Linked DNA regions of Stegostoma tigrinum. The protein of the gene in region 1 purifies or fractionates together with the protein of each later gene. This does not show direct contact. Links are inferred from orthologs where the notes say so. Each region holds a gene or a part of one and is shown in the gene's direction. Other genes may lie near its edges. The genes, in order: strap, tgfbr1b and ddx20.

Region 1 (10,624 bases):
CTGTGTCTTCCCTCTTCCTGATTAAGTTACGTAATTCTAAGTGTCAAACAGCCTTCTTGTCCTTAAATTTTGTTTTATATGTTACAAAACAATGCACAGTTTACATTCTTCCAAGGCATCGCATACTCTAATCTCGTTACAGCCTTGCTGCAAACATGGATGATAAAGCTGAAGTCCACAACTGAATTGAAAGGACTGGACTTGACATCAAGGGAGCATTTGACCAGGTTGAGAATCAAGGATTCCTAGCAAAATGGAAAGTCAGAGCACTCAGTGGAAAATTTTTAAAATTGGAATTGTACCTAGCTCCGTATGTCAAAGTCAGTTACACCTTGGTGATCCGGCTCTCGCCATTGCTGGTGGTCCAGTGCACTGTCTTACCAGCTACTGAGGTTCCGACCAACCTTCTTCAAGTAGATTTTCATGGCATCTTTGAAACAGTTCTGCAGGCCACCATGACCTTTATCCACTCATGAAGCAGGAATGCAGACCACACTTCAGAATGCGAGGATTGGGCATTCTGATTCATTTGATACATGAGAATGGTTGTCTTTATGTCCAAGACTCTTGCTTTTCGGAGGATGCTCATGTTCATGTGACAGTCCACCCAGGCGATGTGCCGAATCTTCAACAATTTACAAACACGCAAATCAGGATTTTGGTGGGATATTCTATACATGTGCCTGAGAAATAAGAAAAACAATCAAGAAACACAACATCACCCAAGATGAAGCTGCTGCGTGATTGACAACCCGTCCAACACCCTCAACATTCACTCCTTTCATCACTGGTGCACGGTTGTTTATCATTTATAAGATGCACTGCAGAACCTCATCAAGACTTCTTTAACAAACCTTCCAAAGCAATGATCTAACACTGTGGGCAGTGAAGGTCATTGGGTCACAATCCAGGAACTCCATCCTTAACAGCTTTGTGGATAGCACATGGACTGTGTAGATTCAAGAAGGCAGCTCACCATCGCCACTTTGTGTAATTATGAGCAACAAATGTTGGCCTTTCTAATAAAAAAACGAAAAAACTGCGGATGCTGTACATCAGGAACAAAAACAAAGTTGCTGGAAAAGCTCAGCAGGTCTGGCAGCATCTGTGAAGAAAAAAAGAGTTAATGTTTCGGGTCCATTGACCCTTCCTCAGAACATTCTGAGGAAGGTTCACTGGACCCGAAATGTTAACTATGTTTTTGGCCTTTCTCATGATGCTTTATGAATTTTTTTTAAAATGGCTACAAGAAAATGACTTACCGTTCTGAACATTAATCACAAACTGCAGGACAATTCCTGGTTGTTGGTGAACTTTCACAGTTAAATGAGTAAGTTAAATAAAAGTTTTGTATTTGATCACAGGTTAGCACCCCAAAAACTGCTATTCTAGGAGTTGTCACAAAAGTTAAAGATGCTACAGAAGTACACAAAATTCTCTGATTTACCTGACTTTCAGACCCAGTTTGATAAAAAACATGGATGAGGTTTCTCTATTGAACATGAATCACTATTTACCAAAAGTAATTTGACTCTAGCTACAAGCAAAAATGTTATATCAACATTTAATACTCTAATTAAAACTTTAATCCCCTTATAAACTCCACATTACACACATACACACAACAGATAAACAGACAGTGTAACATAATATATAGAGAGCAGCAAGACTGAAAATGTATCAGTGATAATGGGAACTGCAGATGCTGGAGAATCCAAGATAACAAAGTGTGGAGCTGGATGAATACAGCAGGCCAAGCAGCATCTCAGGAGCGCAAAAGCTGACGTTTCGGGCCTAGACCCTTCATCAGAGGTCTGCTGTGTTCATCCAGCTTCACACTTTGTTATCTAAGACTGAAAATGTAGTTGTCTCCAAATACCTTGCAGACTCTTGAGACTCAACATTGTGTTCAATAGAGATAATAATGTGTAGAGCTGGGTGAATACAGCAGGCCAAGCAGCATCAGAGGACCAAGAAAGCTGATGTTTCGGGTCTGGACCTTCTTCAGAAATGTGGAAAGGGTAGGGGATTCTGAAATAAACAGGGAGCGGGGGGGAGGTGGATGGAAGATGTATAAAGGAAAAGATAGGTGGAGAGGAAATGTATCGATCAAAGAAGTGAGGAAGGAGCCAGTAAAGGTGAGTGTAGGTGGGGAATTAGGGTTGGATTTGGTCAGTCCAGGGAAGTTGGACAGGTCAAGGAGGCAGGGATGACGCTGGTAATTAGGAGGTGAGGGTAGGGATTGAGGTGGGAGGAGCGGATAGGTAGGAGAAAGGACAGGCAGGTTAGGGAGGTGGGGACAGGTTTGGCTAGATTTGGGATGCAGTAGGGGGAGGGGTGATTTTGAAACTTGTGAAGTCCACAATGCCATTGGGCTACAGGGTTCCCAAGCGGAGTTTGGGGTGCTGTTCGTGCAACCTTCGGTTGGGAATGTTGTGGCACTGCAGGAGGGCCAGGATGGACATGTTGTCCAAGGAATGGGAGGGGGAGTTGAAATGCTTCACAACTGGGAGGTGCAATCATTTGTCACGAACCAAGAGTAGGTGTTCTGCAAAGCAATCTCCAAGCCTCCATTTAGTTTCCCCGATGTAGAGGAGACCTCATCAGGAACAGTGGATACAATATACCTTGTTAGCAGATGTGCAGGTGAACATCTGTTTGATGTGGAAGGTCTTCTTGGGGCCTGGGATGGGGGTGAGGAGGGAGGTGTAGGGGGAGATGTAGCAATTCCGGCGGTTGCAGGGAAAAGTGCCAGATGTGGTGTAGCTAGTGGGGAGTGTGGAGTGGACAAGGCAGTCAAGGGAGTTCAATAACTTTGGAGCCTGACTCCATCTTTCCACATTTTTTACACCCACCTCCACATCCTGGTTCTGTCATGACATGCGCAGCCAACACATTCTCACCCACTCTTAGTCCTATTATCACATGAAATGATTTGCTTTCAGCACAGCCTACCCATTATTACCTACTCTCTGCTCTCATTACCACTTAATCATCTTCCCTGGTGTCCTGGCCTATTATCAATAACCCCCTCTCCTACCTAGCCCTTTCAAATCTCTCTCTCTTTGGATTCCATCTTCAGCTATCCACTCGCCTCTCCCCCACCACCTCCCAACAATACCTCCTCATCTACTCTGTTGTCTTCAGTGTAAATACCACTTTTACCTGATTTTACCTGATACCTGGCTGCTATCAGTTCTGGTTTACTTCAGGTTTATATGGAGTTTTGACTTCAGAGAACAAGAACACTGCTCCTGGGCTGTGGAAGAACGGAAAACTTCTCTCCATCTGTAACTTAGTCCTAGCTCCAAGCAGTTCAGTTATCTGTAAAGCAATCATAATGCTGTTGGCAGGCAAAAATGTCTCTGTCATTGACAACTGGTCCATAGACCAATTAACTTCTTGTTGCCAGCAAGAGCTGCATTATTACATTCCCTCTGTACCTTTAAGCATCGGAGTTTGGAGGTCATGTGGAGGTTGTTCAGGACATTGGTGAGACCTCTTTAGGAGTACTGTGTGCAGTTCTGGTCCCCCTGTTATAGGAAGGATGTGTTATTAAACTGGACAGGTCTCAGAAAAGATTTACCAGGATGTCGCCAGGAATGGAGGGTTTGAATTATATGGGGAACCTGGACAGGCTGAGATTTTTTCATTGGAACTTGAGAGATTCAGGGGTGATCTCATTTAGAGGCTTATAAAATCGTGACGGGTATAGATAACGTGAAAGGCAGGTGTCTTTTCCCTAGGGTGGGGGCTTCAATATTAGCGAGCATGTTTTTAAAGTGAGAGGAGAATGGTTTAAAACAGACTTGAGGAGCAGAGTGGTTTGTGTGTACAGCGAGCTTCCAAAGGAAGTGATGGATGCAGGTGCAGTTACAATGTTTAAAAGACTTTAGATAAGTTCATGAATAAGAAATGTTTGGAGAGATATGGGCCAAACACAGGCAGATGGGACTAGGATAGTTTGGGTTTACAGTCAGCATGTACTTGTTGGACTGAATGGTCTGTTTCCATGCTGTATGGCTCCATGACGACAGGTTTGCAATTATTGCTTGTTTAGACAGATGTGTGAATGATGCCAAATGTGAGCATCAGGTTACATGCTTTTCAGAACTGTTCCAAACAATAGTTTTTAAAGCAGCTCTTTTTCCATGTCCACGTCTTTTTATCTGGAATGCATTAATGACTTTAGGATATGTGAAAACATTTCATCACCAAATATTTATTTTTAAAGATTGATCATTGTTCCTTTGTGGGAATTATAGCAGTCAATTTGCTCCAATCGAGGTTCCAGAATCAGCATTGTCACAATGACATCATGATGTTTTTGTAATGATGTTTGAAAAATTGGGCCAGAAGTTCAGGGAGAATGTTATAGCTTGATTTAATTGCCCATAGTTACATTACAACCATAAGAGTGGGCAGACTTCACCTCTGATCTGAAAGACAGCGTCTCCTTAAGCATTATACCGGAGTATCAGCGTGGAATCCACCCAGTGCAGGGAGGGGTGGACATGTCAGAGGTCCTTCTGGAGGGTCTGATTCTGGGCCTGGCCAAAGTGGCCATCAGCAGGTTCAGGCAGTGTTCCCAACTGTTGGCCCCTCTTTCACACTTACATCTGTGCTCGGCTGTCCCTGGGGATGGAGCCTGCAGTGCTCACAGGAACATTTGAGTCCTTTGGAGACCTATGGGCAACACATAGGCTAGGGTGCGTCATCAGACTGGACAACGTTAATTTAGTTTGGTAAGATTCTATATTATATATTAATCTGTTATATAAGATTCTGTTCAACTGTTAAATTTGTGTTTTATTTCAACAATGTTTCATTTTTAATTTTGATGTCCTGTTTTGAAAAGTGTGGAGAGAGCTTTGCTCAGTGCTATCCCTGTCCTGGGAGTGTTTGATGGGGGCATTGCTGTCAGTTTAAAAAAGTCCAGTGAACTTTATTTTTGCTTACTTCTAGTCTAGAAAAGTAGAGGTAGGCTTATTCAGTAGCAAACCCCATGTCCTGCGGGTGCTTGGTGGGAACAATGTTGAGTGAGTTTTACTTTTAATTTAAAAGAGTAGAATCTGTGCTCAAGTCTTTGGAGTGGAGCTTGAACTCAGTATATTTTGACCTAGACTGTAAATGGTTGACACCCAGTTGCAGCATGTCCTCATATATGTGACAGTGTTCCACAGTTAATGAAGCACCTTTCAAAACATAGGTATGGTTAGTAAGTTTTCAGATGACACCAAAATTGGAGGTGAAGTAAACAGCAAAGAAGGTTACCTCAGAGTACAATGGGATCTTGATCAGATGGTCCAATGGGTGAGGAATTGCAGATGAAGTTTAATTTAGATAAATGTGAGGTGCTGCATTTTGGAAAGGCAATCAGGGCAGGACTTACACACTTGAGAGTAATGTCCTGGGGAGTGTTGCTGAATAGAGACCTTGGAATGCAGGTTCATAGTTTCTTGAAAGTGGAGTCACAGGTAGACAGGATAGTGAAGAAGGCGTTTGGTATACTTGCCTTTATTGGTTCGTGCATTGAGTATAGGAGTTGGGAGGTCATGTTGCGGCTGCACAGGACATTGGTTAGAACACTTCTGGAATGCTGTGTACAATTCTGGTCTCCCTGCTGTAGGAAGGATTTTGTGAAACTTGAAAGGGTTCAGAAAAGATTTACAAGGATGTTACCAGGGTTGGAGGGTTTGAGCTATAGGGAGAGGCTGAATAGACTGAGGCTATTTTCCCTGGAGCATCAGAGGCTGAGGGGCGAACTTATAGAGGTTTATAAAGTCATGAGGGGCATGTACAGGGTGGATAGACAAGGCCTTGACCCCTGAGGGGAAGGGCAAGGGATTGGAGGAGTCCAAAACTAGAGGGCATAGATTTGAGGTGAGCAGGGGAAGATTCAAAAGGGACCTACAGGGCAACCTTTTCACACAGAGGGCGGTGTGTGTATGGAATGAGCTGTCAGAGAAAGTGATGGAGGCTGGTACAATTACAATATTAGAAAGGCATCTGGATGGTTGGCTATAAAATAGGGTGGGATTAGAGGGATATGGGGCAAATATTAGCAAACGAAACTAGATTTATTTCGGATATGTGGTTGGCATGGACAAGTTGGACTGACGGGTCTGTTTCCGTGATGTGCAGCTCAATGACTGTAATTACAGTCACAGGTGGGAGTGCAGGAGTATATTGACATAAAGAGAACACCTTTTCTCACTTTTGAACAATGGCATAGAATTTTTTTATAGGCACTTAAGACCCCAAAATGGTTTGGCCAGTCATCTTAAAGACAGCGAAAAATGATAATTCTATCAAAAAAAAGTTTCTTTTTTGCCTGGCAAACGTAAACAAGATAATGTTTGAGGGTATTTAGTAGAATATTGTACGGAGTTCTACTTGGTTGGTACAGATATGGATGGGCTGAATGGCCTGATCCTTTACTCGAAAGGCGAATGATAGTTTGCACATTGGGAATTGGACGAAATTTATGAATGGAGCCCAGTCAATGAAACTGCGCATGTGCGACCGCTGCGTTTCCCACGAGCCGCCACGCGTGGCGTTTGGCGTCACTTCCGCTACAGCTAACGGGGAGTCTGGAGGTTCGGGAGAGGGAACCAGCCCAGACCGGACTGGGAACACGCGACACCGGGATTAACGGACCGGTAAGGGGGCCGGGAAGGGGATAGCAGACCGACAGCAGCACGGCGGACACCCAGTAGTAAAACACAGTTTGGGGTGAGGTGGAAGCACCACTGGGAATGGCCCACCTGGAGTGACGCACCGGGAAAAGTGTGATCAACACCTGGGAATACAGTAAGATACACAGGGGACCAGGAACACACGCTGAGACGCTCCATTGGTGGGACCTGGAACAATACCGAGAATATACCAGTAAGATATACCAGGAAGACACTGATAAGACACACCAGGGGGTACTAGGAAACCATACCAGTAAAATATGGCGCCAGAAATAACTTGGGGCAGGGTTGGTTGGGGAAGAGGACCGGGAACACTACTTGGAATAACACACTGCCAACACTCACCGTTGTTAATTGTGACAGTAAGGTACACCAGGGGAACTAGAAACGCACCCTAGGAAAATACTGGTAAGGCACACCATTGTGAAAACACATCAGTAAGACTTACAAGTGAGACAGCAGGAATGCACATTACTGAGATGCACTGGAGAAAAAAAATTGGTGAGCCACTCTAGGAGGGAGACTGGATGTATACCAGGCACGTGCACCAGGAAAATACTGGTAAGATATGGAAGGGTAAGGCACGCCAGGTAAATTCTGGGAGATAAGTAAGAACCACAATAAAGGAGTAAAAATACCAGGGGAATAAGAAAGAAGCACCAATTAAAAGGGGACCTGGTAAAAGTGTGAAAATACCAAGTAAGAAACACAGGTTGAAAACACTGAGTAAATGGTTTAAAATTCCAGAGGGGAGAAAACCAACTTAAAATGATGAAACGTCAGGGACTGGATATGAAACAACTGGTTTATAACATTTGAGGACTGGGTTAAAAACGATCAAATAAAAGTATTGGGTAATAAACACCAGGTAAAAATGTAAAAACCATCAGGGGATGGTGAGAATTTCCAGGTGAAAGTACTCTATTTGCTTTCTTCCTATGTCCTTTGATCACTTTAGGCCTAAGAACTATCTAAGTCCTTAAAATGTTCAATGTTTTGGCCTCAACCACTTTGTGGCAAAAAAATTCTACAGGTTTGCCACTGTCTAGCTGGAGAAATTACTCCTTATTTTAGAATCTGTTGTTAAGAAAGTAATGAGAGGAATTTTAAGTCAAAATAAATCATGTTTGACTAATTGCTAGAATTATTTGAAGATGTAACAAGTAGTGTGGATAAGGGGAGGGGGAAGGGGGTTCTGAAATAAGTAGGGAGAGAAAGGGAGGTGGTTAGAAGATGGATGGTGGAGAGGATTTGCTTTGGGAGAGACCCCCACTGAGGTTTTTCCGGAGGGAGAAAGGTAACTTCTTCGGAGTAGGCATCCTAAGAAGAGGCTTCGCAGTGCGATTAAAATTGTTTGAGATAGTAGGAACTGCAGATGCTGGAGAATCTGAGAAATACAAGGTGTGGAGCTGGATGCGGGTCTAGGCCTGAAACATCAGCTTTCCTGCTCCTATGATGCTGCTTGGCCTGCTGTGTTCATCCAGCTCTACTCCTTGTTCTCGTAGTACTATGTCTAGACTTCCAGAAGACATTTGATAAGGTGTTGCGTAAAAGCATAATAATATGCAAGCTGAGTTCACATGGGTTAAGGGTAATTTATTTGTTTGTATAGAGGATTGGTTAACAGCAGTAAGCAGAGTTGAACCTCTGTCTCTATCTCAGGCAACCAGCTTGAAACTGATGTCCATTTCAAGCCCACCGAATCCCACAGCTACTTAGAATACACCTCCTCCTACCCACCCTCCTGCAAAAGTTCCATCCCCTATTCCCAATTCCTCCGTCTCCGCCGCATCTGCTCCCCTGATGAGGCATTCCACTCGCGCACATCCCAGATGTCCAAGTTCTTCAAGGACCGCAACTTTCCCCCCCACAGTGGTCTACAACACCCTTGACTGCATCTCCCACATTTCCCGCAACACATCCCTCACACCCCGCCCACGCCACAACCGCCCAAAAAGGATCCCCCTCGTTCTCACATACCACCCCCCCAACCTCTGGATACAACGCATCATCCTCCGACACTTCTGCCATCTACAATCCGACCCCACCACCCAAGACATTTTTCCATCCCCACCCTTGTCTGCTTTCCAGAGAGACCACTGTCTCCGTGACTCCCTTGTTCGCTCCACACTGCCCTCCAACCCCACCACACCTGGCTCCTTCCCCTGCAATGCAGGAAGTGCTACACTTGCTCCCCCACCCCCACGCCCCAAGATGACTTTCCATATTAAGCAGAGGTTCACCTGCACATCTGCCAATGTGGTATACTGCATTCATTGTACCTGGTTTGGCATCCTCTACATTGGGGAAACCAAGCGGAGGCTTGGGGACCGCTTTGCAAAACACCTCCGCTCGGTTCGCAATAAACAACTGCACCTCCCAGTCGCAAACGATTTCCACTCCCCCTCCCATTCTTTAGATGATATGTCCATCATGGTCCTCCTGCAGTGCCACAATGATGCCACCCGAAGGTTGCAGGAACAGCAACTCATATTCCGCTTGGGAACCCTGCAGCCCAATGGTATCAATGTGGACTTCACCAGCTTCAAAATCTCCCCTCCCCCACTGCATCCCAAAACCAGCCCAGTTTGCCCCCTCGCCCCCTCGCCCCCTGCACCACACAACCAGCCCAGCTCTTCCCCTCCACCCACTGCATCCCAAAACCAGTCCAACCTGTCTCTGCTTCCCTAACCTGTTCTTCCTCTCACCCATCCCTTCCTCCCACCCCAAGCCGCACCTCCATCTCCTACCTACTACCCTCATCCCACCTCTTTGACCTGTCCGTCTTCCCTGGACTGACCTATCCCCTCCCTACCTCCCCACCTATACTCTCCTCTCCACCTATCTTCTTTTCTGTCCATCTTTGGTCCACCTCCCCCTCTCTCCCTATTTATTCCAGAACCCTCACCCCCATCCCCCTCTCTGATGAAGGGTCTAGGCCCAAAACGTCAGCTTTTGTGCTCCTGAGATGCTGCTTGGCCTGCTGTGTTCATCCAGCCTCACATTATATTATCTTGGAATAAATGGGTCATCTTCTGATTGGCAAGATGTAACCAATGGGGTGCCAGAGATCTTTAGGCCCAACTATTTACAAGCTATATTAAAGACAGGGATGTGGGGATAGAAAGTACTATGGCTAAACTTTGCAGATGGCAGTAAAGCAGGTAAGATAGTAAGCTACAATGAAGAAATAAAAAATTTACAAATGGATATGGTTATTTGAGGTGAATGGGCCAAAATTTGGCAGATGTAATTTCATGTGGATAAATACAAGGCTATCCTTTTTGGTCAGAGGAATAGAAAGACAACCTATCAATGCAAAGGGATCTGGGCATCTTTGTTTGTGAATTGCAGAAAACTGGTATGTAAGTACAGCAGGTTAAAAAGGAGACAAATAGAATTTTGGCACTTATTGCTGAAAGAATAAAGCATAAATGTCAGGGAGTGTTTCTGCAATTGTATGACATCTTAGTGAGATGGCAATACTTTTAAGTGCATACAATTTTTGTCTCCTTACTTGAGGCTGGGGGTGATAAAGTTTGGAGGAGGTTGGCTAGATTGTTTCCAGAGATGAGGGTTTGTCTTATGATGAGGCAGATGACCTAGTGATGTTAGCGCTGGACTGTTAATGCAGAGACCCAAATAAAGTTCTGGGGACACTGGTTTGAATCCCGCCATGGCGATGATGGAATTTGAAGTCAGCAAAATATCCTGAATTAAGAATCTAATGATGACCATGAATCCATTGGTGGAAAAACCCATCCGGTTCACTAATGTCCTTTAAGGAAGGAAACTGCCATTCTTACCTGGTCTGGCCTACATGTGACTCCAGACCCACAGCCAAGTTGTTGTCTCTGAACTGGCCTCTGGGCAATTATGGATGGGCAATAAATGCAACCTGGTCAGTGACGCCCTCATTCCCTGAA
Region 2 (11,229 bases), on another chromosome or scaffold:
AGGCCTTGCTGAAATCCATATAAATTGCATCAACTGTATTGCCCTCAACAACACACCAAATATCCTCACACTGTGACCCCTAGTTCATGGCTACCCCACCGTCGGGAACATGTTTCCTGTACTACCCTGTCTGGAGTAAAGGTTTTGTCACTCACTGTGACACACACCTCAGGTATTGATATTGTTCATGATTTAGAGGATAGCATAGAGGCGGGACCCACCTACGATGAGTCTCTGGGTCGAAGTGTCCCACAGCCGATGGCAAAGTCGTTTGTGATTTCTGCAGAGAGCCTGAATGAAGACTACGGAAGAAGGCAGATGGATCGGCATGAAGGTGGACTGACAGGTCCTGCTAGTGGCCACTGTTGAGGAGGAATAGAGGGGATGAGCACCATCTTAGTGCAGGGGTTTGGGCATTTTGTGTAGCCTGTCCCCTTTCCAATGTGGAAGTGGTTGTCAATTTCATTAATTTGCTTGTACACTGGCCATGATGAGGCATCTGGCAGAAAATGTCAATGCTTTCATTGCTGCACAAATAGAAGCCAATCAACATGGGTGCAGCTACGGAAGCTCAGACTGAAGTCACGCACTGTACCTTGCTGCCACATGGGCCTCAAAGTGCTGTCCTAATAGATGAAAAAACTACTGTTCAAAGGGACAGCAGATCGGCAATACATCCTTCAACAAATTACTAGATTTCTAATGCCTCCTCCATGCAGCACACTCTGCTGTTCCCTCTCAGCAATTATTCTACTGCCATTTCCACTTGAAGCTAGGAACTATGTATTCAGGGACATGTGACATTTCAATAGGCCAGGCAAGAAGGAAAGGGCGCTAGGATAGCTTTGTTGCTTCAGGATAGAACAAGTACAATAACAAGAAATAACCTCAGGTCAGAAAATGTAGAATCCACATGAAGTCAAAGAAAAAATGGTAAGGAAGACATTGGTAGCTGTTGTCTAAAGGCCCCCTGGGAGTAGCTATACATTGGGATGGGAAATAAATCAGAAAATAATAAAGGCACGTGGAAAAGGCAGTACATTAATCATGGGGGACTTTAATCTTCATGTAAATTGGAATAGTCAAATGGCAGACACAAAACCACGAGGAACAGACATTCAGGACTGTTTCCTAGAGCAATATGTTGTAGATCCTGCCAGGGATCAGGCTGTTCTGTATCCAGTGATGTGTATTGAGCCAGGTTTAATAACTTATGTCAGATCAAAAGATCCACTATAAAACAGCCATTGTAACATGGTGGAACTTAGCATTCATTTTGAGAACTTAGGAACTTAGTTGTGGTTGGTTGGCTGACCGAGTTGGCTTGTTGTTCTGCAGACGTTTCGTTACCATGATGGGTAACATCATCAGTGTAGCTCCCAATGAAGCGCTGGTGTGTTTTTCTGCCTGTGTTTAAACTCTGGAGTCCGTTGAGCTGGATTACCCCACTTCCAGTTTCCCTACACAATGGATTGTATATGGGGTCTAGCTGTATGTGTTTATTGATGGCTTTCTAAGTGGAGAAGCAGGCTTCTAAGAATTCCCATGTTTCTCTCTGTTTTGTCTGTCCCAGGATCCTGGTGTTGTCCTAGTCAACTTGGTGATTTTCCTTATCCATGCGGATGGCGATGAGTGAGTATTGGTCACGTCTTTTTGTTGCCAGTTGATGTTTGTGCACCTTTGTGGTTAATTTCCTTCCTGTTTGTCCGATGTAATGTTTGTCATAGTCTCTGCAGGGGATCTTGTCTATGACATTGGTCCTGTCCATCGTGGGAAGTGGGTCTTTGGTTCGGGTGAGCAGTTGGTGTAGGGTTGATGTGGGTTTGCCACTCTGATGCCCAGTGGTTGTAGGAGTCTTGTGGTTCGTTCCAATGTGTTCCTGATGTAAGGTAGCTTGGTGAGTGTGTCGGGGTGTGAGGTATGTTCCTGATGTCGTTCGTGTAATAGGCATCTTCTGGCCCAGTTTTTCAGGTATCCATTGTATCTGATTACCTGGAAGCGGTATTCTTCTTCTTCTTGGTGTAGTTCTGTGCTGCTGAAATGTGTTGTTGCCCGTCCAAATAATGCTGTCACGCAACTTCATTTGTGTGTGTTAAGGCGGTTGCTGCACCACATGGATAAGGAAAACCACCAATTCGGCTGGGACAACACCAGGATCCTGAGACAGCCGAAGCAGAGGCAAGCACGGGATTCCCTAGAAGCCTGGTTCTCTATTAAGAAAGCCATCAATAAACACATAGAGCTAGACCCCATATACATTCTCTGTGAAGGGAAACCGGAAGTGAGGTCATCCAATTCAATGGACTCCAGAGTTTAAAAACCAGGCAGGAAAACACAATGGTACTTCATCGGAGGCTGCACTGAGCGTGTTACCCAGCATGGTAACGAAACATCTGCAGAACAACAAACCAGCTCGGTGAGCCAACCAACTACAGCATCCACAAACCGAGCTATAAATCTACTCCAAAACATTAGGAAATTAGGTTAGAACAACTGAGCTAAGCCTAAGTGAGGGTACTAATAAAGGAATGAGGGCAAGGTTGACTGTAGTGGACTGAGAAACTGGTTTAGCCAAGATGGTTGAGGAATAGTGACAGATGTCTCAGAAAATAGCTCATGGCTCACAGCAAAGATATATTTTAGTGAGGAAGAAGGATTCTAAGAAGGGACATAGACAATCATGGTTAACCATGGAGGGTGAAAGAGAAGGAAATATAATGCGACAAAGTAAGCCAGAAGTTTGCTAAAACTTTTAAAATCACTAAGACCCTGTTACCCATGTTTCAGGGATCTTGAATAGCTCTGGCACCTGGGAGTAACAAGGGACATATGAATGATGAGAATTCCACGGAAACTGAGCACAACATGTGGAAGATATGTTTCAGATGATTGCATACCCCTTCCCTTTTCTGTTGAGAAACTGTGCAGGCTGGTCCCAGAGAAAACTGATCACCACATGCATGCAGTCAGCAATCCCCAGAATCTGTGGGAAGCCCACAATTGTCCCAAAACCAATGGATTATATGGTCTGGCTCTCTGGCCTTTTTAAAAACTGCATTTATCAACTCTTTGATGCAGTGATGAGCTGCTGCCTGTGAGATGCCACATCTGTCCCCTGTGGAGCCTGGAATGTGCTAATGTTGGAGAGGTTTAATGCTGCAGCAACTTTTAAAGCCACAGGCGTTGCGCTTTTTCCCAGTTCAGGGACCTCAGTCTTAATGGTATGTTAATTATATTGATAAAACATGCAGTTTAATTGATTACTTAGTGCACTTATAGGGTTTAATTTAGTATAATTGATTGCACTTAAAAATATAAAAATAAACTGCCCGAGCCAAACACTGGGCACACTGTGGTGTGATCTCCGTCTGAAAGCTAAAGATGATCGGGTCATGAGTTCAAAGTGAGAGGAGGAAAGTTTAAGGGTGATATGCGTGGAAAGTTCTTTACACAGAGGGTGGTGGGTGCCTGGAATGTGTTGCCACCGGAGGTGGTAGACGCAGACACAATAGTGTCTTTTAAGATGTATCTGGACAGGTACATGGATGGGTGGGGAGCAAAGGGATACAGACACTTAGAAAATAGATGACAGGTTTAGACAGAGGATCTTGATCGGTGCAGGCTTAGAGGGCCGAAGGGCCTGTTCCTGTGCTGTAGGTTTCTTTGTTCTTTGATTCTGCTGGGAGTTCTTCCCTTTATCATCCACGATGTAGTTTGAAGATATTGTATGCAGCAGTCCTATACAATTCAAGATTGAGGGAGGTCACAGATTGAGTATGGTTTCTGTGACCTTGAAGAGTCCTGTTCCCTGTTTACACGGGGTCTGCGAGGATGTGTACAGTCCTTTCTTCATTCCCTCAGGCTGCGCATCAACTGAGCTTGCGTTCAGCCCACATTGCTGCACTTTTGTCACTCAGCTGACTGAGGAAGTTGGAGGACTTCCTCTGGGTCTGGTCCTGGGAATGGCCAATGTGACAATGAAGAGGGTGAGGCAGTGAGCTGTGAAAGGGGTTGTTAGGTCTGAATGTCTACCTCTTGTCTGTAGTTGTGTCTGCACTCAAGTGTCTCTGAAAAAGGAGCATGTGGTGTCCACTGCACAGTTGTATCCTCAACTGGTGATCAGGCTTGTACCTGGTAACTTATCTGGGTCAGATTCATCCTCACCCCATTGAAGTTGGTTCTCCTCCAAGTAATTATTTTGATTAAGATTTTGCTTAGATATTATTTAGTTCTCAGTGGAGAAACAAAAAAAACCTGTTGAGTAAAAACCACCTAGCTTATTGCTCTGTGATAATGGGAACTGCAGATGCTGGAGAATCCAAGATAACAAAGTGTGAAGCTGGATGAACACAGCAGGCCAAGCAGCATCTCAGGAGCACAAAAGCTGATGTTTCGAGCCTAGACCCTTCATCAGAGAGGGGGATGGGGAGAGGGTTCTGAAATAAATAGGGAGAGAGGCGGGAGGTGGACCGAAGATGGAGAGAAAAGAAGATAGGTGGAGAGGAGAGTATAGGTGGGGAGGTAGGGAGGGGATAGGTCAGTCCAGGGAAGATGGACAGGTCAAGGAGGTGGGATGAGGTTAGTAGGTAGGAAATGGAGGTGCGGCTTGAGGTGGGAGGAAGGCATCGGTGAGAGAAAAGAAAGAAAGAAAGAAAGAAACGTACAGCACAGGAACAGGCCCTTCGGCCCTCCAAGCCTGTGCCGATCAAGATCCTCTGTCTAAGCCTATCATCTACTTTCTAAGGGTCTGTGTCCATTTGCTCCCTGCCCATCCATGTACCTGTCCAAATATATCTTAAAAGACGCTAACGTGTCTGCGTCTACCACCTCCGCTGGCAACGCATTCAGGCACCCACCACCCTCTGTGTAAAGAACTTTCCACGCATATGGAAGAACAGGTTAGGGAGGCGGAGACAGGCTGGGCTGGTTTTGGGATTCAGTCGGGGGAGGGAATGAGCTGGGCTGGTTTTGAGGAGGTGTATTCTAGGTAGCTGTGGGAGTCGGTGGGCTTGAAATGGACATCAGTTACAAGCTGGTTACCTGAGATGGAGACTGAGAAGTCCAGGAAGGTGAGGGATGTGCTGGAGATGGTCCAGGTGAACTTGAGGTTGGGGTGGAAGGTGTTGGTGAAGCAGATGAACTGTATTGGCGCCGCCTCTTGCTCCCAGAGGAGCTCGAACAGTTCAATTGCAGAACACCTCCGCTCGGTTCGCAATAAGCAACTGCACCTCCCAGTCGCGAACCATTTTAGCTCCCACTCCCATTCTTTAGGTGACATGTCCATCATGGGCCTCCTGCAGTGCCACAATGATGTCACCCAAAGGTTGCAGGAACAGCAACTCATATTCCGCTTGGGAACCCTGCAGCCCAATGGTATCAATGTGAACTTCACCAGCTTCAAAATCTCCCCTCCCCCCCACTGCATCCCAAAACCAGCCCAGCCTGTCTCTGCCTCCCTAACCTGTTCTTTCTCTCACCTACCCCTACTCCCACCTCAAGCCGCACCTCCATTTCCTACCTACTAACCTCAGCCCCCCTCCTTGATCTGTTTGTCTTCCCTGGACTGACCTATCCCCTCCCTACCTCCCCACCAATACTCTCCTCTCCACCTATCTTCTTTTCTCTCCATCTTTGGTCCGCCTCCCCCTCTCTCCCTATTTATTCCAGTTCCCTCTCCCCATCCCCCTCTCTGGTGAAGGGTCTAGGCCCGAAACGTCAGCTTTTGTGCTCCTGAGATGCTGCTTCGCCTGCTGTGTTCATCCAGCTTCACACTTTATTATCTTGGATTCTCCAGCATCTGCAGTTCCCATTATCAGTGAACAGTATGTATTTGATTGTATTAGTATTGAAACGTCTTCCAGTTTCTCTTCAAAACGACTGTCCCATTTCACACTGGCTGCTCGACAAGTGTATTTCAGAAACAGGAGAGAGATCAGCCTTTCCTCAACAGTTTTTTTAAAAGGTAGTACTCTATCATTTGTTGCACATTGCTGTAATTTAGTTGCAAATTTGTTCCTCTACATACCTCCATCCAGTTGATGGTTTGGTGAGAGGAAACTAAATTATACATTTTGTTTTCTTCCTTCGTTCCAGTCAGGTAGATTTGGTCCTTGGCCCCTCTGGGACATGTATCTCCAACAATACAAATTTTACCTTGATAGTACTACCCTCCCACTTTCCTTTCTCAACACCCTGTTCTCAGGATGCTCTGATTTCAGCACCCGCTGTGTTTGGTTTTGGTTCGAATCCTGAGAACTGGGAAGAAGTTGGAAAACATTTGTAATGAGGTTTAGAGCAAGTTGTGAGGGAAGGAAGGGACAAAAGGAATATTGGCACAAGGCAAAAGGAGTTGAGGATGGGAGGATAGAGAAACCAGGGCTGGATATATTCCATTGGCTCCTTCAGAATGACATTGCAGACAAAAGGAGGTGGGGACCGGGGGTTGGCCAATTGAAAAACGCCTATCACAGAGGCCAGGGCAATTGTGACCGATCTACCTATCACAGGCTACTTCTCATTCTGTTCCTAAATGCACTGACGGCGACCAATGAATGAGGTTCGGAGCCGAATCGATAACCTAACAGCAAGTTTCATCGCAGGATGCGCGGCAGTAACCAATCAAAAGGAACCCTTCGGGTCTTTCCGGCAGTCATCCAATGAAAAGGCGCACTCCCGCGGCTCCTCCAATAGGAGAGCATCCAGACGGACAGCCTGTCGGCAGGCGGGCGCGAGGGAGCACGTTGCGATTGGGAGAGACTCGGCCAATGACGATCCACGTCGCACGGGGGCAGGCCAGGAGCCACTCACCCGGCCCGTCTTATGATGGCGTGCAGTATGTGGGGGGAGGTGTCGCTGAGGCAGCCAATGGGAGGGCCTGTGTCATACGGCCGTCGCAGTAGTGGTAGCGGCGGCGGGGCTTACTCTGTCTGGAAAGTCGCGGCTGTGTTAGGGGGCGGACGGAGCGGCTTTGCAGCCATGGCGAGAGCCGGAGCCTCTCATCGCGCGGTGCTCGGTTGCCTGCTTTTGCTTTTGATCGGTGCCTCCGGAGCGCTGGGTGAGTGATGGTCGGGGCGTGGGGGGGGGAGAAGCAGGTTGCTCGTTCGGCTGCTTTCCGAAGGGGTGTGCGGGGGGTGGTATTGTTCACCAGAGGCCCGGGGATGGGGAGGGGGTGGAAAACCTGGGGACTAGGAGCGGCCTAGTGAAGGGACAGTGATGGGGCTCTCTCTTCCCAACTACCACAGCCGGGGGGGGGGGGGGGGAGATGCCGACCAGGGCCTTATCGTGCTGTCCCTGAGAGGAGCAGCGGCCGACCCTAGCCTGGCCTGGCCCGGCCCGGGTGGCGGGAGGAGGAGGAAGGGCCAGTGGGGTCTCACGCCCGGATGTGGTTGCCATGGTGGATGCCAGGGCTCGCAGAGCTGACCACTCGCTCCAAGAAAGACAGCCCGGAAACCCAAACACCTTCCCCGGGGCAAAGAGGGACCCCCCTCCCTCCCCACCACCAAACACCCTCTTCCCCCCAACTCCACACAGCTCCTGGAGTTTGGGAGCGGCTGGGAGAAGCTGGTTCAGACGAAGTGCAATCTTTTACAATCCTCACTCAATTGCCATCTGATTTTTCTTTTAAAAGATGTGCAGCAGGGAAGATACGTTGCTTACGTTTGCTTTGGACTTTTTTTTAAGACAAAGTCCTTTCCAGTAGTTGCACATGTTCCTGTAGTTTAGGGTAAACAACTTGACAAGAACTCTGCAGGATGTAAGTCGTATGTCGACATCTTCGGAAATGTGAAGCCAGTCTTGCGAAATCATACGTTTGATTGAAAATATCTTTTAAGACAAAATGACAATGTGATGGATCAATTTTAAAAATAAATTATCTTCTCGAACGTTTGGGAGACTAGTTTTCACTAACTGGATCCACTTCTGAAGTGTTGCTCACTGCATCGCTATGTTTTTTCCCTGGTGCCGCAAAATAATTGAACGACTTGCAGTGATGTTTAACGTGGCGAAGTCCTGTGGTGCTTTGTGAATGGGTATAATGCCTAAGAAAATTGTGAAGTAGTTTTGGAATGTTTAAATCTGATAAATCGCAGTGTATGTATTGACAAAAATCTTGTTTATGCATTAGCCTATTAAATCAAGTTCCAATAGCTTCGTATTTGGGAGCCACCTGCCAATGTTTACAATTGTTAGATCTAGTTTTCTGTGCTGGAGGGAGTATCTGAAACTCCAAGGTATAAGCAGGATTAACAAGTGTGTTGTCAGTCTGCAGAAGTCAAAACCAGTAGTGTGGATGCTAAATCCTTTAGATCTGAATTTTCTAAAACCAATATAAAAGCTTTTGAAGGCAATTAACCATCATTAACAGTTATTTGACTGGGAGTGTTTGTGTTCCACCCTAGAATTGACATTCTTGCAACTAAAGTTACTGGCATAAAAGCTGCTGATAATGCTTAGGAACATCTTTTTACTGTGCATTACTTTCATGCACACTTGTATTTCTTTAAGAATCCTTCCACCTCACTAATCCCTAGATGTGCAAGGAAGTGACTAAAGGTTAAACCCCCTTCCAGATTCTTTCCATTCCTGTAAAAACTGTGCAACAACCACAATTTGCTTCACTGTTGATTATTGTTTTTCTGCATTAGCTGTGAAATGGAAATGTAGATGTGTTTGAAGTGTCTAGCAAATGCACCACAACATTGACTTGATGGAAATGAATATATGTTTATTGATATTTCAAGACATTTACCTCAGTTTCACTTGTTTCAAGCCAATAATCTGCAGTTGTTTGGATTTCAATGAGTTTGTAGTTTTGTTGTCAAATTACATTTCAGACAGTAGAGCAGTGAAAATAAATCACCATTTTTAAAGCAGTTTCTGTTTTTTTTTTCTTGAAAGTATGCGTTATCCCAACAAGAATGGCAACATTTGCAGCGAAACAGAGTTAATGTGTTGAATCCAATGTGATTGATTTTGAGGAATGGTCACTTTGGACTTGAAACGTTAACTCCACAGATGCTGCCAGACCTGGTGATTTTTCTGCAGCATACTGTGTTTCAGGTTTCCTGCATCCACAAAATTTTTGTTTTTAATTTAGAATCAAAGGTGACTGTTAAAACCACAGTTACATATTGCATTTTGTACGCAGTGTTTAGTGTTCAGTGTTGAGGTTGTGCACTATACTAGGTAGAAGTGTGGATATGATATTGAAGTGGAGATGTTGTGTCTGGCCCTAGGTACGATCTGTTCAAGCTGAGCTTTGTGTAGGAAAAGAGATTGTTAGGAGATATGGGAAATTGTGAACTTTGAAGGAAACTAATTAGAATTGAAGGGGAAACATGTAGTTAGCTTGTAAATTATAAGTGGCAGAGAGATCTGAAATAGAAGAAATTGTATAAACCTCCAACCAGAAGTAGCCCATAGCTTAGGAAATGGACGCAAACAGCTAGTCAGCAGACAGGGTGTGGTGAAATGTCAGACAGGTCCTGTTTTCTAGACTTTCTGCTTGATTAGATAAGTGCTGCTTTCATCATATCCTAATATGGTACTTTTGATTTCAACATCCACACATGTGGATCAATCTGTTTGCACTAACACCTGTGAGATAATTCATTTTGTCCATGCTGTATAATGTAGTGTGTGTCATTTGGGAACAAAATGTCTTAGATGTCAAAATAGCTTTGCTTAAGAACAGCGATGGAACCCTGGTGAAGTGTTTTAACAGGTCACTCAGATCTATTGCTATTAGCTGGCTCCATGCTCTTTGGGTGCAGATAAAGCCCCCCAGCCTGTTGAGAATTGAGAAGGTTGTTGGCTCAATGCTGCTGGGCAGTTGGCTTTGCAAGTCCTGGGGTATTAATGAGCTTAGTGGATTTGATAAGAAGCTGCCTGCTAGTGACCTGGTTATGTAAATAAGCAGCCATAGCCTGCGAGTAAGACTGGCATTTCCCAATTCCCAACATTGGGATTCTGCTGGAAAGTGAGCAATCATCAAGGTAGTTGTAATTGTGTGGTTTTTGAGGTGAATTGGTGGCTAGATCTTAGAAAGAGAAGAACTGAAATCTCTTGAGTGGGTAGAGTTTAAAGGAGTTTTGAGAGTCTTGGTTGTGATTTTAATTTTTAAATATGGAGGGCAGCTGGTGGTTAAATGCTTAGGTGTATGGATTTTTTTGGAGGTTTTTGCACTCTTCTAATGCCTTCATTTAATGTCTGCAAGTTCATGATCCTTTTCTATACCCTTTAGTCTAGATCCTTTTCTGAAGAATGGTCTAGACCTGAAACGTCAGCTTTCCTGCTCCTCTGATGCTGCTTGACCTGCTGTGTTCATCCAGCTGTAAACCTTGTTATCTCAGATTTTCCAGCTACTAACTCTGTAACAATGATATCTCTTGATGCGTTTAGTTTTACTCATTATTTTGCTTGGTCACAAGCTAGGCACTTGCAAGAATAAGTAGTAATGTTGAACCTTTTCAGAGATACTTGGCATCCTTAAAGGGCTTCTGCTGTTCTCCTGGAAATCTCTGACTGCATCTGACTTCTGAGTAACAAAATTGCTTTTGGAACCTGGTGTTAGGCATGTGCGCTGGCTTTGAGTGTGTATGTCTTGTCACTGGGCAAGTTGCTTGGAACAAGTCATTGTTGGAATGTGCCTTGCACCTAGATGTGGAGGATCTTGCAAAGTGATTATTGGTTGTACTTTTGTAGTGCTTTGAGGTGCCTGCTGCAGATTACTTGCTTTGCAGACTTGGGCAAAAGTCTGGGAATCACTACTATCTGCTAAACTCTGACCTTCGTCTTGGGTCTGAGATCCTTGTGCTTAAATGCTCTTTTTTTCCCTTCTGTCAAACAAAGGCAGAGCTGTTTGCATTGTAAATGATGATGAATTTCATTGTGTGTCTGCTTTCTTCGGGATGTGTCTCCCAAGATATGGAAAATGATCTGTATTTTCCAGGATTTCTCTCCTGATATTAACTGACGTGGAGAGGTGTTATGGTGTGGGAACCAGTTGGAAGGGGGCCTTTTTTTGAGTGTTTAGAGAGGCCCATTTTTATCATGGGAGTCAATAGTAGCCTGGAGCTCAGTTTCTGAGTGAGTGCACACATAGGTGTCATCTGCATACTGCTGCGACTGAGATTGGAGCAGTTTTGGTTTGAATTGAGGATGGGATGTGAACAAGTTCCCATTTGTTTTGGAGGTTAGCTCTGCCGGGAATTCGCCGGAGTTGAGGTG
Region 3 (10,262 bases), on another chromosome or scaffold:
GTTATTGTTCAATGATGACCTGTCAGAAAGAGCACTATCCGTATCTAAAACTGATGTGTCAACCTGGTGAGCTACCACGCAGAACTAGGTACATTATAGAATCCCTACAGAGCAGATAGAGGCCATTCAGTCCATTGAGTCTGCACCAACCCTCTAGAGAGCATCCCACCCAGACCTACCTCTGTAACCCTGCATTTAGTATGGTCAATTTACCCAGCCTACACATCCGTGGACGCTATGGGGCAATTTAGCACGGCCAATCCACCCTAAACTGCACATCTTTGGACTGTGGGAGGAAACCAGAGCACCTGGAGGAAACTGCAGATGCTGGAGAATCCGAGATAACAAAGTGTGGAGCTGGATGCTGGGAGAATGTGCAGACTCCACACAGACAGTCACCCAATGCTAGAATCGAACCCAAGTCCCTGGCGCTGTGAGGCAGCAGTGTTAACCACTGTGCCACCCTACACAACAAACAAAGGAAGCCACAAGTGCTAATTCCAAACAGCCCCTCAACCAATAGATTAGATCTAAACGCCGCAATCCTACCTATCCAGTCATTGTGGTGGACAATTAAATAAAGAACTCAATCGAGAATGAGGTATCACAAATATTCTGATCCTTAATGCTGGGAAGAACAGCGCATCAATACAAATGATGAGCCTGAAGCATCTGCATACATTTTCAGCCAGAGGTGCCAAGTAGATAATCCATCTTGGCCTCCTCTAGAGATGCAAAAATGTCAGATGTCAATCTTCAGTCAATTCAATTCACTCCTTGTGATATTATGAAACAGGTGAGGGGACTGGATACTGCAAAGGCAATAGACCCTCACAACATTCCAGAAAAAATATACTTGCATTCCAGAACTGGATGTATCTGTTGTAACGTACCTCCAGTACTATTACACACTGGCATCTACTCAACAATATGGACAATTGCCCACATAAGTCTAAAAGGTTGTAAGTTATAACAGCAGAAATAGGTCATTCAGCCCAACGAGACTACTTTCATGAGATCATTGTTGATCTGATAATCCTCAATTCCACTTACCCGCACTTTCACCATAACCCTTGATACCCCTCCTGATTAAATACATTAGTCTTGAACATACTTAATAACCCAGCCTCGACACCCCTCAGCAGTCAAGAATTCTACAGACTTACTACTGTCTGAGAGAAGAAATTGTTCTTCTTCTTGAGGTGGCCTTGACTCTGAAATGTTCCCCTCTGGTCCTAGACTTTCCCCCAAGGAGATTAAGCTCTCAGCATCTTTGCTGCCAACCTCTCTAAGAATCTCGTTCTTCTAAGACTCTCAGTCCTCCTTCAGGTGCTAGTGAGAGAGGTAGTATCAGAATTTATAAGCAAAAGATCAAAAGTTCACACCACTGATGAGGATGTACTAAACAAAACTAGCATGCTGTTAAATCTTTAATCAGTTAGAAGTCTTTAATTGAATAATATATATATGTAAATGCCTGAATTCCTTTCAAGTCACAGTCCAAAGAGATAAAAAGGCTTTATCAGTGTAAAGAAGTTGTGACATTTTAGACAATGATTTAGATTTTCAGACAATGCATGTTAGGTGTGAGAACTTGTTTAGAATCTGTTTGTGTTTTAGTTGGAGTCAGACTGGTTTTATTTCTAAAGTAGGAATTTATAAAACACCACATTGACTGTCTAACTATAAATTGTATGCTTTTTGAACAAAAATAAAATGTATCTGCAAATATAAATTCATCCCATAGATTCACGTATGCGTGTGTGTGTGTGCGTGCGCGCGTGTGTGTATGTGTGTGTGTGCACGCACGCGCATGGGTGTGCGTGTGTGTGTATGTGTATGTGTGCGCGTGTGCGTGTGCGTGTGTGTGTGTGTATGTGTATGTGTGCGTGCGTGTGTCTGTGTGTGTGTGTGTGTGTGTGTGTGTGTATGTGTGCGCGTGTGCGTGTGTGTGTGTGTGTATGTGTGTGCGTGTGCGTGTGTGTGTATATGTGTGTGTATGTGTGTGTGTGTGTCTGTCTGTGTATGTGTGTGTGTCTGTGTGTGTGAGCGTGTGTGTGTGTATGTGTGTGTGTGTGTGTGTGTGTGTGTATGTGCGTGTGTGTGTGTGTGTGTGTGTGAGTGTGTGTGAATGTGTGTGTTGTGTGTTAGTACATCCTCATCAGTGGTGTGACCCTTTGATCTTTTATTTATAAATTCTGTGCCTGATACTCCCTCCCTCATTAACACCCAAAGGTGGACTGAGGCTCTGAAAGCTTGTGAACAAAATAAACCTGTTGGACTATAACCTGGTGTTGCATGATTGTAAGATATAGCAGCAGAATATATCTTCTGGCAGTGCAGGCTCAAACATTGGGCACTGGCCACTTGTTTAAACAAAACTAACCGGTTGGATACTGGGGCAAGAGATTGTCTGAGTGCTGACAGGATCCTAGCCAGCAGGAAGAGCCATCATAGTGTGAGTTTTGTATGTAATACTCAGTAGGCTGCAGCGAGGCCAACAGAGGGGCAATTACAATCCTTCCAACAAATTTAGCTCAATGGAACATGCCACCATGTTTTTCATGCCAATTTCTCAGCGACTGATCTGACTTTCATAGAATCCCTACAACGTGGAAGCAGGCCATTCAGCTCATTGTGTCCATGCTGCCCATCCAACCCAAACCCACCCGCTACCCTGTCCCTGTAACTCTGCATTTCTGATGGCTAATCCACACAACTTGCACATCTATGCACTGTGGGAGGAGACCGGAGCACCCGCAGGAAACCCACACAGGCACGGGGAGAATGTGTCACACAAATAGTCACCCAAAGGTGGGATTAAACCCGAGTCCCTGGTGCTGTGAAGCAGCAGCACAAACCACTGAGCCATGGTGCCACCCTACAAAAGGAGCTAGGGAAATGTGAGGAAAAATGTTTTCACACGGCAAGTGATTCAGGTTGGGGATGCACTTCAGGGAAATGTGATAGAGGCCAGTTCAATTAAAGTATTGAAGAGGACATTAGATGGCTATTTGGATAAAAATAATGTGTAAGGTTGTGGGGATAAAGCAATGGCTCTAGGCGTTGATGATATTGCAGGCGTAGTAAACGGAATGGTTTCTTTCTGTGCCATTGCAATTCTGTGATTTTATGAAAATCTCTTCATAACAAAATCCCTCCATCAACCTGGTGCACTCCCTCCAATGTCAATATATCTTTGCTTCAATAAGGGGACTAAATTTGTTCACAGTGTTCCAGCTGTGATCTGGCTGGTGCCTTTTATTGTTTTAGCAAGGCTTCCTTATTTTTGTACTCCTTTCCATTTTGAAATAAAGGCAAACATTCCACTTACCTTCCCTGTTACCTGCTGAACTTGGATGCTAGTTTTTTTGTGACTTACGTACAAGAACACCCAGACCTTTACGGATGTAGCTTTCTGCCATCTTTCCTCCATTTAGATAGTATTCAGTTCCTCTAACCTTCATGCCAAAGTGTGTCACCTCTTGTATTATATTGCATCTGCCAGGTTTTGTTCACTTGTTGAATCTGTCTCTATCTTTCTGCAGGCTCCCTGCGTCATCCTCACCCCTTGCCCTCTCACCTGCTTTTGTGTCAACGGCAAACTCTAATCCTATTAGGTTCCTCATCTAAGTCAATGTTATGTCTATTGTAATTAATTATGGCCTGAGAACTGATCCCTGTGGCACTCTGCTATTTACAGGTTGCAATCCTGAAAATCCCAACTCTCTATTATCTATTTGTTAACCAATCCTCTGTTTATATGACCACCAACACTGTGGGCTATATCTCATGAGGTAGCCTATCAAATGGCACTTTATCAAATGTCTTCTGTGGGAGGGTTTAGCAAAGGGGCTCAATCCAGGCGGTTTGGTTAGCACCAAGGGCGAAAAAAACACCTTGGGGTGTGTCCTGTTCGGAGGTAGGATCTGTATCTAGTTGGCAGAGTCTATTTGCAGGGATGAAGCTAGCCTACATGGGGGCAGAGGAAACACAATGTGGAGCTGGAGGAACACGGTAGGCCAGGCAGCATCAGAGGAGCAGGAAAGCTGATGTTTCAGGTCGGGACCCTTCTTCAGAAACTTGTCCCTGGGAAGTTGGACCAGTACCTGTAGGCAGGCCTGTTTCCAGGGGACAGGGACTGTTTCTAGGAGATAATAAGGACTGCAAATGTTGGAAGCCAGACCCTATAGGTGTGAGGCTGGAAAGCACAGAAAGTCAGACAGCATCTGAGCAGTAAGAAAGTCAACGTTTTGGGTCAAAACTCTTTGTCAGGGCTGGGGAGTGGTAGGGGAGTCCAGAAATAGAGGGAGGGAGTTGGGGCTATGGGGAGGGTAGATGGGTTGGTGAAAGAAGGATTCACGTAGGGGGTTATTGTGAGTGGTCTGTGGGAAGTGTGGAGCAGATAGGTGAGTAGGACAACAAAGTGTGGGGGTGGATGAACACAACAGGCCAAGCAGCATCCTAGGAGCACAAAACCTGACGTTTCGGGCCTAGACCCTTCAAGATGGACAGATTAGGTCACGACAGGGGTTGGGCAGGGAGAGGGATGGACATGGGATAAGGCTGGGGTGGAGGGATTTTGAAGCTGGTGAAGTCAATGTTGAGGCCATTAGGCTGTGAGCCCCCAAAGCAAAATATCAGGTGGTGTTCCTCCAACTTACATTTGGCGTCACCCTTCAGTGGAGGAGGCCAAGGATGGACATGTTGCCAGAGGAGTGAGAGGGGGAATTAAATAGGATGGTAACCAAAAGGTCGGGTTGGTTAGTGCGTGCAGAGCGCAGATGCTTCGCAAACTCTGTGTTTGTTCTCCCCGATATAGAGGAGACTACATTGGGAGCAACAGGTGCAACAGATCAGGTTGGACGTAGTGCAGGTGAATCTCTGTGGGATCGGGACACTCCACCCCCAGCCTCATCCTATGTCCATCCCTCTCCCTCCCCACCTGACCTAACGTGTCCATCTTCCTACTTACCTATCCACTCCACCCTTCCCATGGACCAACCACAACTGCACCCTACCTGTATCCACCTATCACCATCCTGACAGCCCACACCCCCCATCCCCAGTCCTGGCAAAGGGTTTCAACCTGAAACATTCAATGACTTTCCTGCTGCTCTGATGCTGCCTGACACTGTGCTTTTCCAGCCTCACACCTATAGGCATTTTAGGGGCGGGACCTGTCACCAAGGGCGGGACCTATCTCCAGGGGCAGGGACCAGTCTCCAAGGGGCGGGACCGGTCTCCAAGGGGCGGGACCTATCGCCAGAGGCGTGACCTGTCTCCAACGGGCCGTCTCCAGGGCGGGGCACGTATCTAGGGGGCGTGGCCCGTGGCCGGCAGGGGCGGGGCTCTCACTCCCAGTTCCAGGCCCAAGCCGGGGCCCTGCCTGACGCTGACGGGGTGGGAAGGATGGCGCTCACTGGCCGTCGTACGGCCCATAGCATTGACCGGCGGCCTCGTACTGGGGATGTGCTGCTGGCTCCGGGCGAGCAAGTGGATTTCGCCGCTTTGCTCCTGACGCAGCCCGTTCTGGAGGGGCTGAGGGAGGCCGGGTTCGAGAGGCCTTCCCCCATCCAACTGAAGGCCATCCCGCTAGGGCGGTGTGGGCTCGGTGAGGGAGCCGGGGGCGGGGTTTGGGAGTGAGGGAGGGGCGGGGAGGGGGCTTGGGGGGGTGAGGGAGGGGCGGGGAGGGGGCTTGGGGGGGTGAGGGAGGGGCGTGGAGGTGCCTTGGGGGTGAGGGAGGGGCGTGGAGGTGCCTTGGGGGTGAGAGAGTGGGTTTGAGGGAGAGGGTGTGGGGTGGGGGTTTGGGGGTGAGGGGGGTGGGAGATGGGAGATGGGTTGTGAGGTATGGGGGTGGTGTGGGGGGAGTAGGGGTTGGTTTGGGTTTGAGGGATGGTTTGGGGGTGGGAGGTGGTGTGTGGGAGGTGCAGTGGGTAGAGGGAGGGGAGCAAGGGGGGGTGTGTGGGGGGGAATGGGTAGAGGGAGGGAGGGAAGGTGGGTGTATGAGTTGGCATGTAGGTAAGGGTCACAGTGATGGGAGGAGGGGGAGAGTGAGAAAATAGGGAGTGTAGGGTGAGGTGTGGGAGTTGGGGAGAAGGAGAGGGAGATTGAGGGATCGGGAGGGTTGGGAGCAGAGTAGGGGGAAGATTGAGGATGGGGAGCACAAATGGAATCAGTGAGGCATGGGAGGAGAGAGGGAGGGGGTTGGTGAATGAGGTGTTGGTAGAGAATGAGGGAGTTGGGATGGTAGAATGAGGGGATGTGTGGTGGGGATGAGTGAGAGGAGGAGAGAGGGTTGATGGGGGGGGGGGAGAGAGGAGTGATTATAACCAGTAAGGGGGTATGATGGGTTGGCATACAGGAGGGGGATGTGGCAGCGAGGGTTATAAAGGTGAGTATGGAGTTTAGATTGTGAAATTGTGTTTCAGAATGTAAGTGGTTTGAGGAAATTGGGGATGGGAAGAGGTGCGCTTTTTCCACTTGTTGAGTCTTTGAGTAAAAGGTGTTCCTTCAGTGAATTTAGGGGCATGAGCTGTTTGAACACTGATCGAAATCTGCAATGTGATAGGAATGTGGGATTGGAGGAGAGCTTCCCCTGTACCATTTGCCTTGTTGAGAAGTTGCTGGCTTTGGGAGGTTTTCTGAAGATGCAGAGGGTACTGCGTGTGTGGAATGAGCTGCTAGAGGAAATTTTGGAGGCTGGTACAATTACAAAACTTAGAGCCACACAACTCTAGTGCATGGAAAGACACCCTTTGGCCTAACTTGTCCATGCCGACCAGATATACTAAATTAATCTAGTCCCATTTGCCAGCATTTGGCCTATATCCCTCTAAACCCTTTGTACTCATGTACCAATTCAGATGCCTTTTAAATGTTGTAATTGTGCCAACCTCTACCACTTCCTCTGGCATTTTATTCCATACACACACCATCCTCTCTGTGAGAAAAAAGAGACGTAAGGGGCAAAGTTAAATCTATCCCTTCTCACCTTAAACCTATGCCCTCTAGTCTTGGACTCGCCTCCCCTGGGGAAAAGACCTTGACTAATCACCTATTCATGCCCCTCATGATTTTATAAACCTCGATAAGGTCACCCCCCTCCCCCAGCCTCTGACACTCCAGGGAAATAGCTCCAGCCTCTCTACAGCTCAAACCTACAACCCTGGCAACATTCTTGTAAAACTTGTCTGAACCCTTTCAAGCTTCTCCACATCTTTCCTATAGTAGGGCGACCAGAATTGAATTCTGTTTTCCAAAAGTGGCCTCACCAATGTTCTGTACAACTGCAACATGACCTCCCAACTCCTATACTCAATGCATTGACCAATAAGGCAAGCGTACCAAAGTTCTTCTCTACTTTCTTCACTACCCTATCCACCTACGACTCCACTTTCAAGGGACTGTGAACCTACACTCCAAGGTCTCTTTGTACAGTCATATTTCCGAAGACCTTACCATGACGTGCGTAAATCCTGCCTGATTGAATATCCTTTTGAATATACAGCACCTCTCGCTTATCTAAATTAAACTCCATCTGCCACTCCTCGGCTCATCAGATCCAGATCCTGTTGCACTCTGAGGTAACCTCCTTTGCCGTCCATCACACCTCCAATTTTGGTGTGATCTGTAAACTTACTAACCATACCTCCTATGTTCACATCCAAATCATGTATATAAATGATGGAAAACAGTGGACCCAGCACTGATCCTTGTGGCATACAGCTGATCACAGACCTCCGGTCTGAAAAGCAACTGTCCTCCACCACCCTCTGTCTCCTACCTTCGAACCATTTAAAAGGCAGGGTTTAGAGGAATATGGGCCAAATGCTGGGAAATGGGGCTAGATTAATCTGGTAGGTACGGACGAGTTGGACCAAAGGGTCTGTGTCCATGCTGTACATCTTTATGACTCTGTGGTAACCAATAGCTGCTGTGTAACTGAGGCAATTTTTGTCAGAGTTATCTGCGCCCCTAAGTTTGAACACCATAAAATATTCTGATGTGAGTTTGATAAATGAAATATTGACACAAGAATCTTTTCTCAACATAAGACAGCGATATAGTGTAACTTGATGTGATTGGTTTTATCCCCCCTGGTCACTGCTGGATTTCAATAAAACGTTTCTGTTCTCGTCAGTTGCTCCCCAAAAGAAATGCTACAAAATAAATTCATTTTCTGTCTTTCCGAATCTGTGTTGTTTTAAATGGGGTAATTAACAATGAAGTGCTGGTGATTACTGGGCTGTCGTCGCCGGTGGTGGTAGTGGGAGCAATTTAAAATAATCAAGGATATTGTACTATGTGCAGCTAATCAGTTTGATTACGATACTTAGGCACCAGAAGTCTGGACGTGCTTCATGACATCATTAAGTGCTGCAATGGGTCACATCTTAAGCTTGAAAATTCAGCATGTGATTTTTCTTTACAAAGCTATGTGTCTCTTTCAGATCTGATTGTGCAAGCTAAATCCGGTACAGGGAAAACATGTGTATTTGCTACAATTGCATTGGACTCCGTTATCCTAGAGAATCCAGCAACACAGGTTAGCATTTATGCAGAGGTTGTTCCGAACTTTGCATATTGCCCTTTTCTTGTGCTGTGTAAATTGTTGTTCCCTTTGGAATTTGGAATTCTTCTGCCTGTCCTGATGGGAGCGAGACAAAAAGCTTTGACAGCATGCCTCTTTTTCGGCAAGCAGTTACCAGCAAACAACCGCGGTGAACTATAGTTAACTTCTTTTTGTACACTCTCGCCATAGAAACTTGCCCAGTTGTGTGTAATCGGGAAAAACACTGAGCCCAGTGCAGTAGTGTTCCAAGCAATCTCTGACAGTTTCTGCTCGAGCTTTCAGAGTGTTGAAAACTGGGCAACAGATATTTCTCCGCATCTCCCAGTTTTAAAAGCTTGAATGCATGGGAAGCGGGATTGCATGTTTGGACACAGATTACCTAGGGCAATGTTTGCTCACATTATAAGTATTTCTGTGGAAGTAGGAGTTGAGATCTTGTATTTACATAGCACGTTTCGTGGTTGAAACACACTCTCAAATGTTTTACAATCAATGGTGCACTTTTGAACTGTAGCTACTACTAAAAACACTGGCAACTCTAGCCAGTTTGTGCCCCACATAATCTCACAAAGAAAGCATTTGGCATGCTTGCCTTCATCTGCCAGAGCATTGAGTTTAGGAGTTGGGACATCATGTTACGGCTGTACAAGACACTTGCTAGGCTGTATTTGCAGTATTGTATACAGTTCTGGTTGCCCTGCTATAGGAAAGATGTTATTAAACTGGAAAGGATGTAAAAAAAGATTGACAAGAATATTATTGAGATTGGAGGGTTTGAATTATAAGGGGAGGCTGGATAGTTGGGACTTTTTTCCCTGGAGAGGAAGAGACCGAGGGGTGACCTTAATAGAAGTTTATAAAATCATGAGGGGAATAGATAAGGTGAATAGCCAAAGTCTATTGCCCAGGATAGGGGAGCCCAAAACTAGAGGCATAGATCTAAGGTGAGAGGGGAAAAGTTTAAAAGGGACCTGAGCGGCAACTCTCTCCACACAGGGTGCTGCGTGTATGGAGCGAGCAGCTAAAGGATGTGGTAAAGTGGATACAATTACAACACTTAAAAGACATTTGGACAGATACATAGATAGAAAAGGTTTAGAGCGATCTAGGCCAAATGCAGGCAAATGGGACTAGTTCAGTTTAGGAAACTGGTTGACAGGGATGAGTTGGGCTGAAGGGTCTCTTTCTGTGCTGTATGACTGTACAGTTCTGTGACTCTATAATAGCTTGATGACTAGTTGATGAATAACTATTGGCCAGAATGGCCAGAAGAAAGCAGTTAATTTTTAGAAAAGTATTCTTTGTTCTCTGTCTCGGTAACACATCTTTCCATCCCATTTTTCTTCCATCCCCAGCAACAAATTGATTACTTTGCTGATGCTGTGGTGTTCTCTAATCACAATATACTTTCACTGTAATTTGGATTGATGGCCCATTCTTTCCTTGTTGCTTGCAGGTTCTCGTTCTGGCACCTACCAGGGAAATTGCAGTCCAAATCCACTCAGTTATTACAGCAATTGGCATTAAAATGGAGGGCCTGGAATGTCACGTCTTCATTGGAGGGACCCCACTGAACCTAGACAAAATGCGGCTGAAGAAATGCCATATCGCAGTAGGATCTCCAGGTGAGAGAATTCTAGAACAGAACACTAGCTGGAATGCTTTCCCAAGGCTTTTCACAGAGCTT

Evidence for each region.
Region 2: the proteins of strap (region 1) and tgfbr1b purify together in Homo sapiens (affinity purification with western blotting; 3 studies listed by BioGRID and IntAct, with this or other methods). This does not show direct contact. The link is inferred for Stegostoma tigrinum from reciprocal best matches to the Homo sapiens genes STRAP and TGFBR1.
Region 3: the proteins of strap (region 1) and ddx20 purify together in Homo sapiens (affinity purification with mass spectrometry; 3 studies listed by BioGRID and IntAct, counting the BioPlex papers as one, with this or other methods). This does not show direct contact. The link is inferred for Stegostoma tigrinum from reciprocal best matches to the Homo sapiens genes STRAP and DDX20.

What each region holds. Positions count from the first base shown.
Region 1 is NC_081378.1:42,719,025-42,729,648, forward strand, and holds the start of strap (serine-threonine kinase receptor-associated protein), read left to right. Parts: upstream 1-6,547; 5' UTR 6,548-6,662; intron 6,663-6,761; exon of another isoform or gene 6,762-6,891; intron 6,892-10,624. UniProt on the Homo sapiens protein: The SMN complex catalyzes the assembly of small nuclear ribonucleoproteins (snRNPs), the building blocks of the spliceosome, and thereby plays an important role in the splicing of cellular pre-mRNAs.
Region 2 is NC_081358.1:11,705,058-11,716,286, reverse strand, and holds the start of tgfbr1b (TGF-beta receptor type-1b), read left to right. Parts: upstream 1-6,879; 5' UTR 6,880-6,975; coding exon 6,976-7,054; intron 7,055-11,229. UniProt on the Homo sapiens protein: Transmembrane serine/threonine kinase forming with the TGF-beta type II serine/threonine kinase receptor, TGFBR2, the non-promiscuous receptor for the TGF-beta cytokines TGFB1, TGFB2 and TGFB3.
Region 3 is NC_081374.1:5,649,132-5,659,393, forward strand, and holds the start of ddx20 (probable ATP-dependent RNA helicase DDX20), read left to right. Parts: upstream 1-5,334; 5' UTR 5,335-5,412; coding exon 5,413-5,614; intron 5,615-8,453; coding exon 8,454-8,548; intron 8,549-10,031; coding exon 10,032-10,200; intron 10,201-10,262.